Linked DNA regions of Saccharomyces cerevisiae S288C. The protein of the gene in region 2 interacts with the protein of the main gene of each other region in a biochemical or structural test. Each region holds a gene or a part of one and is shown on either strand. Other genes may lie near its edges. The genes, in order: SRP1, KAP95 and NUP100.

What was found.
Region 1: the proteins of KAP95 (region 2) and SRP1 form a complex in vitro, tested with the Saccharomyces cerevisiae proteins (6 studies listed by BioGRID).
Region 3: the proteins of KAP95 (region 2) and NUP100 form a complex in vitro, tested with the Saccharomyces cerevisiae proteins (4 studies listed by BioGRID).

Annotation. Positions count from the first base shown.
Region 1 is NC_001146.8:282,094-285,928, forward strand, and holds SRP1 (karyopherin alpha), read left to right. Parts: upstream 1-2,166; coding exon 2,167-3,795; downstream 3,796-3,835. Other genes in the region: YNL190W (uncharacterized protein), read left to right, coding at 302-916. UniProt on the Saccharomyces cerevisiae protein: Functions in nuclear protein import as an adapter protein for importin beta nuclear receptors. Binds specifically and directly to substrates containing either a simple or bipartite NLS motif. Promotes docking of import substrates to the nuclear envelope.
Region 2 is NC_001144.5:824,814-828,413, forward strand, and holds the start of KAP95 (karyopherin beta), read right to left. Parts: upstream 1,601-3,600; coding exon 1-1,600. Other genes in the region: DIC1 (Dic1p), read right to left, coding at 2,164-3,060. UniProt on the Saccharomyces cerevisiae protein: Importin beta subunit that functions in nuclear protein import through association with the importin alpha subunit, which binds to the classical nuclear localization signal (cNLS) in cargo substrates.
Region 3 is NC_001143.9:308,193-312,027, forward strand, and holds the start of NUP100 (FG-nucleoporin NUP100), read left to right. Parts: upstream 1-2,006; coding exon 2,007-3,835. Other genes in the region: YKL068W-A (uncharacterized protein), read left to right, coding at 1,014-1,250. UniProt on the Saccharomyces cerevisiae protein: Functions as a component of the nuclear pore complex (NPC).

The DNA.
Region 1 (3,835 bases), on a different chromosome or scaffold from region 2:
TTTGTTCTTGAATGTAATAAAGACTTCTGTTTTATTTTGTTTTGTTATTTAGAAACAGTCTATCTGGTTTAACTTAAACGAGTGAGCTTAAGATAATCTGACTACAAGAAAACCAAGCTTCTATTACTTTGTTTCTTTCTCTTTTTTCTTTTTTGAATAAAGAATTTTCCTTTAAGGAGTAACTTAAGCATTTAGCTGCACATTAAACACTTTTTTTTTTACTTCTAACTCACACACTTTTGGAAGAACATTTATTTTTTCGACCTTCTTTCCCAAATACCCAGCGCTTTATAATTGAAATATGAAGTTCTCTTCTGTTACTGCTATTACTCTAGCCACCGTTGCCACCGTTGCCACTGCTAAGAAGGGTGAACATGATTTCACTACCACTTTAACTTTGTCATCGGACGGTAGTTTAACTACTACCACCTCTACTCATACCACTCACAAGTATGGTAAGTTCAACAAGACTTCCAAGTCCAAGACCCCAAACCACACTGGTACTCACAAGTACGGTAAGTTCAACAAGACCTCCAAGTCTAAGACCCCAAACCATACCGGTACTCACAAGTATGGTAAGTTCAACAAGACTTCCAAGTCCAAGACTCCAAACCATACCGGTACTCACAAGTACGGTAAGTTCAACAAGACCTCCAAATCCAAGACTCCAAACCACACTGGTACTCACAAGTACGGTAAGTTCAACAAGACCTCCAAGTCTAAGACCCCAAACCATACCGGTACTCACAAGTATGGTAAGTTCAACAAAACCAAACATGACACTACCACTTATGGTCCTGGTGAAAAGGCCCGTAAGAACAATGCCGCCCCTGGTCCATCTAATTTCAACTCCATAAAATTGTTTGGTGTTACCGCTGGTAGTGCTGCCGTAGCCGGTGCCTTATTACTATTATAATAAGCTTTGAATTGGATTTGAGAAATAAAGGAAGACCTAATTTTCTCCGGTTTTATGTTTTTTACCCCCCCTACCCCCTTCATCCTGAAGTAGTAAATTCTTTTTATTATACTATTTCGACTACTATGTGTTTACGTGTGCTTGTGCAAAAGTGAAATTTATTGTGATTGTGTTCTTTTTCTCTTTTTTTTATACAAAAAATGGAGAAAGGAAATTGGGACCTACGATTTAAAGAAGTGTTATTTCCTATTTCAACGAGTTAAATGAATGTGTGTGTTTCGTTGACTTGTAAGGATAGAGAAAGATCATCCAACTTTTAATCATGGTTTCCTTTCCTTTTTTATAGCAATCGAATGTGGAAGGAAAATAGAGCGGAGCTTGATAATTGTGTGTGTGAATGTCTTGCTTTCTCTTTTTCCTTATTTCTACGCTATACAAAAAGTGTGCTTTTTTCTTCTATTTTTTTTTCTTTAATGACTTTGTGTGTTTATTACCCTTTAATTAATTACCAAAAAAAAAATAAACTACGTTTTTAATTTCTAATTTATCAAAATTTCTTTTTTTCACATATAACTATATATTTATATGTCACCCTATTCAAGTTCGTTAGTTTTCTTTCAACGGTCCAAAATTTGGGATATCTTGTGTGTACTTTACTTTCTCCACTAACGATAAGACATCTGCTATTAGCCTATATTGGGCTTAATAAAAAAGGTATCTTCGTCTAGAATGATATATGTATACAATCAAAAGTTTAAAGCTAAATTTTTTATTAACAAGTTACTTTATCAAGTAGTAGTTAACTTAATCGACCGAATTAATTCAATAGTAATCAATTCCAATGCACCGAAGAGTTTGCCAGTCGAACTATCTAAGTGATACTTGTCCATTTTTCCTCGAAGCGCAAAAGAGATTACATCACCATTAACGAATTTTCTTCTTTTCTTTTTTCTTCAAGAGTTGATGGGGAAGGACTAGGAAGGAAACGGTTCAGATACGAATTTAGTGATTAATCATATTCTGCTCAAGAAGCGACTTGTAAGGTAAGGAAAACCCGCATTCACTGACGGAATAAGGAACAGGACCAACTATAAGCCTCCTTTTACACTCACATCTTCAGGCTTTATTTTGTTAAGACTGAAACATTTCCCACTTAATTGAAGTTACATCGTTATTTTATAGAACGATCTTTCTATTTTGTTTTTTGTTCACTTGATATACCTTCCCTTCTACATAACAAATTAATAAATATGGATAATGGTACAGATTCTTCCACGAGCAAGTTCGTTCCCGAATATAGACGAACAAACTTTAAGAATAAAGGCAGATTCTCTGCAGATGAACTTCGTCGTCGTAGAGATACACAACAGGTCGAATTAAGAAAAGCAAAAAGAGATGAAGCTTTGGCCAAAAGAAGAAACTTTATTCCCCCAACTGATGGCGCTGATTCTGATGAAGAAGATGAGAGCTCCGTTTCTGCGGACCAACAATTTTACAGCCAGTTGCAGCAAGAACTACCACAAATGACTCAGCAACTTAACTCTGATGATATGCAAGAGCAATTGAGTGCTACTGTTAAGTTTAGACAAATTTTGTCTAGAGAACACCGCCCTCCAATTGATGTCGTCATTCAAGCCGGTGTTGTTCCAAGATTAGTAGAATTTATGCGTGAAAACCAACCTGAAATGTTACAATTGGAGGCTGCTTGGGCTTTGACTAACATTGCATCAGGTACATCTGCTCAAACAAAAGTGGTTGTTGATGCTGACGCTGTACCTCTTTTCATTCAACTATTATATACCGGCTCCGTTGAAGTTAAAGAACAAGCCATTTGGGCCTTAGGTAACGTTGCAGGTGATTCAACTGACTACAGAGACTACGTTTTACAATGTAATGCCATGGAGCCAATTTTGGGTCTTTTTAACTCCAATAAACCATCTTTGATCAGGACCGCTACGTGGACTTTATCCAATTTATGCAGGGGTAAAAAACCACAACCAGATTGGTCAGTGGTCTCACAAGCGTTGCCAACCTTAGCGAAATTAATCTATTCGATGGACACTGAAACTTTAGTTGATGCTTGTTGGGCTATCTCTTATCTATCTGACGGACCACAAGAAGCTATTCAAGCAGTGATCGATGTTAGAATTCCTAAAAGACTTGTTGAATTACTGAGCCATGAATCGACTTTAGTCCAGACTCCTGCTTTAAGAGCTGTAGGTAATATAGTCACTGGTAATGACTTACAGACTCAGGTCGTTATAAATGCTGGTGTCTTACCTGCGTTAAGACTTCTGCTAAGCTCTCCAAAAGAAAATATCAAGAAAGAAGCGTGTTGGACCATTTCCAATATTACGGCTGGTAATACTGAACAAATTCAAGCGGTAATTGACGCGAACTTGATTCCTCCATTAGTTAAACTTTTGGAAGTTGCAGAATATAAAACTAAAAAAGAAGCTTGTTGGGCTATTTCCAATGCCTCTTCAGGTGGTTTACAAAGACCAGATATCATAAGATATTTAGTATCTCAAGGGTGTATAAAACCATTGTGTGATTTGCTAGAAATTGCTGACAACAGAATAATTGAAGTTACCTTAGATGCTCTTGAAAATATTTTAAAGATGGGTGAAGCTGACAAAGAAGCTCGTGGTTTGAATATCAATGAAAATGCCGATTTTATCGAAAAGGCTGGTGGTATGGAAAAGATTTTCAACTGTCAACAAAATGAAAATGACAAGATTTATGAAAAAGCATACAAAATCATTGAAACCTACTTTGGTGAAGAAGAAGACGCCGTAGACGAAACTATGGCTCCACAAAATGCCGGTAATACTTTCGGCTTTGGTTCTAATGTCAACCAACAATTCAATTTTAACTAACTGAATGTGAAGAAAAAGATCAACTAAATAAGTTTATTCA
Region 2 (3,600 bases):
TGTCCGTGGCGTATTCAACCATTGTTGTCAAGGCTGAAAAGGCGGATGCACGGGCATTGAACTCATTATCAATTCTATTTGCAGCACCGATCAAACCATCTACAAGAGCGGGATAGAAGTTATAGATTGGAGATGGTGTGGCTTCTGCTAATTGTTCGACTAAGTTGATAATGGTCCAAGAACAGTTTGTGGCCACTTTTGGGTGATCTTGCAACCCAATTAAACAAGCTTGAACGACACCTGGAAGATGCTGTTGTGGGTCGATAGATTCAGCAACAGAATCAGCAATTCTACCAATACACCAAGCAGTGGTTTCCTTAACTTGTAGGGATTGATCGTTCATTAAATTCAAAATAGATGGTAAGGCTTGGTGAACGTAATAGGTTCTTTGGACCTTATCAGGGCCATCCATAATGGAACCAAAGGCCATTACAGCAGCTTCACGATTCCTCCAGTTGTCAGCGGTAATATTTTGTTCAACAAATTCCAATACAGGTTCTAAGATATGATTGCCACAGTTTTGGGCAAACAACTGCAAGCATGCACCTGCGGACATGGAAACATTCCAATCGTCATCTTCTGGATCTTCATTTTGTCTCGTTAGAAGGTTCAACAAATTGGGGACAACATCTTTAATAGAAGAGAGAGCGAAATTATAACTCTGTAAAGGAGATTGAGGAAATTGAGCGAGCTCATAGGCAATATCGATTTCTTCTTCACAAATAGTGGACCAGAATTCCACAGTCATGGAAGCTACTTTATCATTTGGAGATTTCATTGTAGCTATGGTCAATGCATATAGGGCTTGCTCCATGTAAGGTTTCATAAATGTATAGTATAGTGACATGATTTTACACAAACAACCAAAGGCAGCTGCTTGAACTTCTATATCTTCAGCTTGAGTGGCTTCACAGACGACTTGCATAAGGTAGTTTCTTTCACCTTCGCGTTCCATGTTATTTTTGATGAAAATTAAAGAGTCTGCAAGAGCATTCAGAGCTGCCAGTCTGACTGCTTTGGAAGTTTCCGTAGATTGCGCACCCTGGACAATAGCGATTAAGATATTGTTTGATGAAGAAACTAAGGCTTGACTTTGAGGGTCTGCACTTTCACACATATAACCCAAGGCCAATAAAGAGGCTCTCTTGACATTTTCTGGTTGTTCCGCACCTGTATTGTCAACCATAATTTTCATCAACTCTGGCCATGCGCCATGGGGCAACTCAATATCTGCTATAGCCGCAATCAATTGAGCTGCTGCATTTGCTATACGCGGTTCTATGGAGACCAATGCGGTCAGCGCGTTAGTTTTAATTTGGTTTTTAGCTTCTGGACTAACCTGTGTAATCCAACGTTGTGCAAATTGCTGCGTCTTGACTGAGTCCTTGGACACCAGCTCGTTCTTCAAAGTTAGCGCCGCTAGAATACGCCCTTCTAGCTTTGTATTTTCATCGATAAGCACTTGCGAAGAAAGACCTGCAAATTGTAAGAAGTTGTCATTAGATAATTTCTTTAATTGCGTTTCACTAGTCAACCGAATGTTTTGGTCGGGACTTAAGATACTGTTCTCCAATAGTTGAGCAAATTCAGCGGTGGACATTGCTCCTTGTGTGATATGATGGATTACTGTTAAATCAGTTTTATTCTACCCCTAAAAACCTTGCAAATATAAAGAGAAAAAGGACAGATAATTCTCCAGTAATATTATCCTTTACTTCTTAATGATATCTGTTCTTTAAGCGAAAAATACAAGAAAAGAAACTGGAGAGTTTACGTATATTTGCCTCTCTTCGCAGTTATTTTTCTTTTTTTTTTATTTTTTTTTCCTTGGTTCTCTCATCCAAGTTTTTCCTTATTGCCCTTCCAGCAAAATTCGAAAATTTTCTTTCTCGCCAAAGAATTCTATACTCGTTTAACATGATACATTTATCGGAACATCGGTAGGAAGTGGCCTGCGACTGACTATCCATTTGATCGCTGCATGAGGAATGCTGGTTATCTATGTATCGGGACATGGTTGCAACGTTTCCAACAAGAACAAGAATAGAAAAAAAAATACCGAAAGCGTCCTTTGCGTTATACCTACCAACCGTGTACAAGCTTTACTCTTCTTGCTTTCTTTATTTGCTATGTATCTTTATGTTTATATGTATATAAATCTGCCTACTTGTCTTCCTTTGGCATGCCAACCCTATGTTTTTTCAATTGCTCAATTGCAAAGAAAATTAACATTGTGAATGGACCCAGTCTAGTGAAACTTGGCAACCACCCCCGGAACATGAAAGATGGGCCCTCTTTGCGGACAGCGTCGGCAAGGATCTTCAAAGCCGGTTGATGGTCTCCGCTGCCGTTCATGATACGTGTCTTCATGACGTCTGCTGGAGAGCACACAGTGGTGGCCACCAGGCCAGCCAACAGGGACGCTGTCAAGTGTGTATAGTTCTTGGATGCGTCGAAATCTAATTTTGTGACCAAGTAGTTCTTAAACACGTCATACGTAACGACCTGACTTGCCGTCATCAGTATGCCCCTAACCATGTTAGGCTTCCAACCGGTAAACAAGGTTTTCAGTCCACCCTCGTAGCGATATATCTTGTACACACCATCGATAGCGTTTTTGTAGTTTCTCCTCTTCGCTGCCTCCAAAGCAGAGTCGTTTTGCATTCTGATATTTACAACATCTGCAAAATTCCCTGCAAGCCCCCCAATGGCACCACTGAACATGGAGCAAGGTAAAAGATACGCCATGTTAGTCAATTGCTCGCGTGGGATCACATTCTCTTTCAACAAGTCGTATGCACCGAATCTCACCGTCGTGTATGTACATTGCCTCAACACAGCAGCGCTCAGGCCGGAATATAACCCCACCACACCTTCATTCGCCAAGATACTCTCCAACATCCTGAAGAGTGTGGGCTTGGGCATAGGAGCCGCCTGCAGTCTGACTTTGGCCAAGTCAAGAGGATGTGTCACCATGGTAGCAAAGATACCCGCTGCACCTCCGTACCACCATGGATACTTGATATTCTTACCGGCAGACTCTTTTGCGTTGGTTGACATGCCGTCCAGCTGTTGCGTTATCTTTTCGACACTTTCAGAGCAAGAGAAACGAACCTCTACACATAAATATGCATACGATTATGTATATCCATATATATATATACACTACAAGCCGACCGCCCGACCGTTTCCTGCCCCCAACATTGCAGCGTAATCGCTTGCCAAAGACCACACCTTGCAGCCCTTTTATACAAACATGTCTACGACGTACAGTGGAGAGGGCCCTTTCCTTGGCACTCAACTGAGATTGCGACGCGATACCTTCTGCGACCGTTCCTACTATCGCGGCCATAACTCCAACAACGACAGCGGATGCGCTGTTCTGCGGATGCGTGACCGTATCCGCAAAGAACGAAGATTAAATTTAGGGTCCCCGGCATTGAGGATGGTTCTGCCAAGAACTCACGATATAAACCAGTTGGTTGAGCATCGCATGGATGAGTATGGCGTATTTTGATTGCTCATATATAGTGGGGGGGAATACTCATGCTGTGAAAAGCACAACTCTTTTCACTCAACGAGGTTAATGCCTTCTTTGTC
Region 3 (3,835 bases), on a different chromosome or scaffold from region 2:
CCATAACCGACTAGACCACGAAACCACTTAATTGTTGAATAACGGACATCTAAAGTCATATCTATAGTGCAGCAAGTTCTTCTTCAGCTCACCCCAGTCTCGCTAAAGGCATGCTTACTTTGCCGTAAAGAAGAAAGGAACGTTCAAAATGTGTTTGATGCGTAACTGTGATGATTTTCTATCATTTACTTGCATGATATCGGTGAAAATTCTAGCTAGATTTATCAATGCATAGAAGCAGTAAGTGATGCCACAGATATGAGCTTTTCTCTGTGGCGAGGTCTTTGAGAAATTAAGTGGCTTGTACAGTTTTCACATGACGATTGGAAATGTTGAAAAAAGAGCCTAAAAATAGGCCTTATCGAACAACATTAAACTAATAATCTTCTGGATGCGATAGTCTTACTTGATAAAAATCATTGGCGATATTGTGTTACCTGGATTATCAAGCTCGCCACTAAAGGTGTCTGGATCCTTACTCAATACAAAGTCCAAGGAAAGGTGTGCCACAGGAAGAGGTAGCATCCCTTTATTTCTTTTCAAGGAAAGAAGCATTTTCAATCACATATGTATACAATAGTCTTCCGTGTGGCTGCACCGCACCACCTTGCAGGTCCCGTGTATGTAGGAGTCGCATGCGAATAAAAAATTGAGAAAGATCATGGGGTTTTTTGTTCACGCGGGCCGCAGTTGTGGCTCCTCTGTCACTTTTTTGCCCTCTGCTAAGGGCAAAAAAGAAAAAAAAACGCAACGAGAAAATTAAAAGTGTGGCATTTCGACATCTATCGCCATTCGTGCGGCCATTTCTCGAAACAACGCTAAACTTTTGTTTCGACTGTGAGGCCCTAGAACAGTTCGATTCTGATGTAGGCAATGGAAGAAACAATCATATATAACTACAGAACCTAATGTTACATGCTTGCATCTCTCAGCTCCCGCGAATTTTCAAGTGAGACTTAATGGTAGCCATCTAGTAACTCATAAATCAACGACATTATATATCATCAACTACAATGCAGGCAAACCATTCCGTCAGTTACCTTTACGAATCAAGTACTTCAAAGAGGTCAAATGGGCTCTTTTCTCAAACACAAAAGCAAGGAAGTTTTCAAAAAGCTTTAAGTCAAACTCAGGAAGAAATAGAAGATGAAGACCTGATGGTAGACCTCAACACAGGATCTTTAACTCCCGTTAAGTTAAAATATTGGACTCAAATGAGTGCTATGACGGAAAAATTTGGTAAACTGTGAGACCAATTTTGGCGGTAATTTCGTTTAGCTGTTTTATTTTCACATTTTTAATTGTCAATGCTGGAGGTTGTTAAAGTTTGGCTAGCTGTTCTGAACAATCCTTGTATACCGGTGAGACTTTTTGTTATAGATATTGGCGATATTCATTTTTTAGGAAGGTGTTTTTATAGATTTTTCAATTTTTTTTGTGTAGATGCATGTTTTGATTACTTATGCATAGTACGAATTTTTAGTTTATTAAGCTATAGAGGTTTTTTTTTTTTTCACCTCTTTACCACAAATTTAATAGCTATTGTGTAGAATAACTTTTAATGGAAAACATTTGCAGTATTTTAGTATTTTTCTACCTGTTTATTGCAAGTAAGGGCAGCATTATCCTGATAGGAGTAGAGGTTAACCGCACATCGGAATGAGACTTCTCCAAGAACGTTCTCAAAGTAAAACATTTAGCATTAGGAAATTTCTTTGGTCGATTATTAGACAAAGATTAGATTGTATTATGTTCTGATGCTTAGTTAGAACGGAAAGTGTTACCCATCTTGCAATCACCGTGACACCTTAAATATTTGCCGTAAGCGAAGAAAAAAAGCATGAAAAAAAAAAGCATATTTATGCTGAAGTCATCTACAAATGACCACCGCTTTTGGACCTGAAGAGGAGAAGAAAATAACATATCGTAGAACAGTCTTTGTTAACCAAAATATTTTAGCTTTGATTCCGGACTATTAGTACATTGAATTTTTTCAGGTACTAACAATGTTTGGCAACAATAGACCAATGTTTGGAGGGAGCAACCTTTCCTTTGGATCAAATACGTCATCCTTCGGTGGGCAACAATCGCAACAACCAAACTCTCTTTTTGGAAATAGCAATAACAACAACAATTCCACCAGTAACAATGCCCAATCAGGATTTGGTGGATTCACTTCTGCCGCTGGCAGTAATAGTAACAGTTTATTTGGAAATAACAATACTCAAAATAATGGGGCATTTGGCCAGTCAATGGGTGCCACCCAAAACTCACCATTTGGGTCGTTAAACTCCTCAAATGCCAGTAATGGGAACACTTTTGGAGGATCCAGTTCAATGGGTTCTTTTGGTGGTAATACCAATAATGCATTTAATAATAACAGTAACAGTACCAATTCCCCGTTTGGTTTCAATAAACCGAATACAGGAGGGACCTTGTTTGGTTCGCAGAATAATAATAGTGCAGGTACTTCTAGTTTATTTGGCGGCCAAAGTACAAGTACCACTGGCACATTCGGAAACACCGGAAGTAGTTTCGGAACAGGCTTAAATGGCAACGGCTCTAACATATTTGGGGCAGGGAACAACTCACAAAGCAATACTACCGGCAGCTTGTTTGGCAACCAACAATCTTCAGCGTTTGGGACAAATAATCAACAAGGAAGTCTATTTGGACAGCAATCTCAAAACACCAATAATGCGTTTGGTAATCAAAATCAGCTGGGGGGCAGTTCCTTCGGATCAAAACCAGTTGGTTCAGGGTCGCTGTTTGGCCAGAGCAACAACACTTTAGGTAATACAACCAATAATAGAAATGGATTGTTTGGTCAAATGAATTCCAGTAACCAAGGCAGTTCTAACAGTGGATTGTTTGGACAAAACTCGATGAACAGCAGCACTCAAGGGGTATTTGGACAAAACAATAATCAAATGCAAATTAATGGCAATAACAACAACAGTTTATTTGGAAAGGCAAACACCTTTTCAAATTCCGCATCAGGAGGTTTATTTGGCCAAAATAATCAACAGCAAGGGTCCGGGCTGTTTGGTCAAAATTCTCAGACAAGCGGTAGTAGTGGACTTTTTGGGCAGAATAATCAGAAACAGCCCAATACTTTTACCCAATCTAATACAGGAATAGGTCTCTTTGGACAGAACAACAACCAGCAACAACAATCTACAGGTTTGTTTGGAGCCAAACCAGCAGGTACCACAGGATCTCTTTTCGGTGGTAATTCATCAACCCAGCCTAACTCTCTTTTCGGTACTACCAATGTACCTACCTCTAATACACAGTCACAACAAGGAAATAGTCTTTTTGGTGCCACGAAGCTGACCAACATGCCCTTTGGAGGAAATCCCACTGCAAACCAGTCAGGGAGTGGAAACAGTCTATTCGGAACTAAACCTGCCTCCACTACCGGCTCATTATTTGGAAACAACACAGCTTCTACGACAGTACCTTCCACGAATGGATTGTTTGGTAACAACGCTAACAATTCAACTAGCACTACGAATACGGGACTTTTCGGTGCAAAGCCTGATTCTCAGTCCAAACCTGCATTAGGGGGAGGGTTATTCGGCAATTCAAACTCGAATTCTTCCACAATCGGCCAAAACAAACCAGTTTTTGGAGGCACAACCCAAAATACAGGACTCTTTGGCGCCACCGGCACGAACTCTTCAGCAGTTGGTTCAACTGGTAAACTTTTTGGCCAGAATAATAATACGCTTAATGTTGGTACACAAAATGTACCACCTGTGAACAATACCACCCAAAACGCCCTTTTGGGTACAACGGCAGTTCCTTCCCTACAACAAGCCCCAGTAACTAA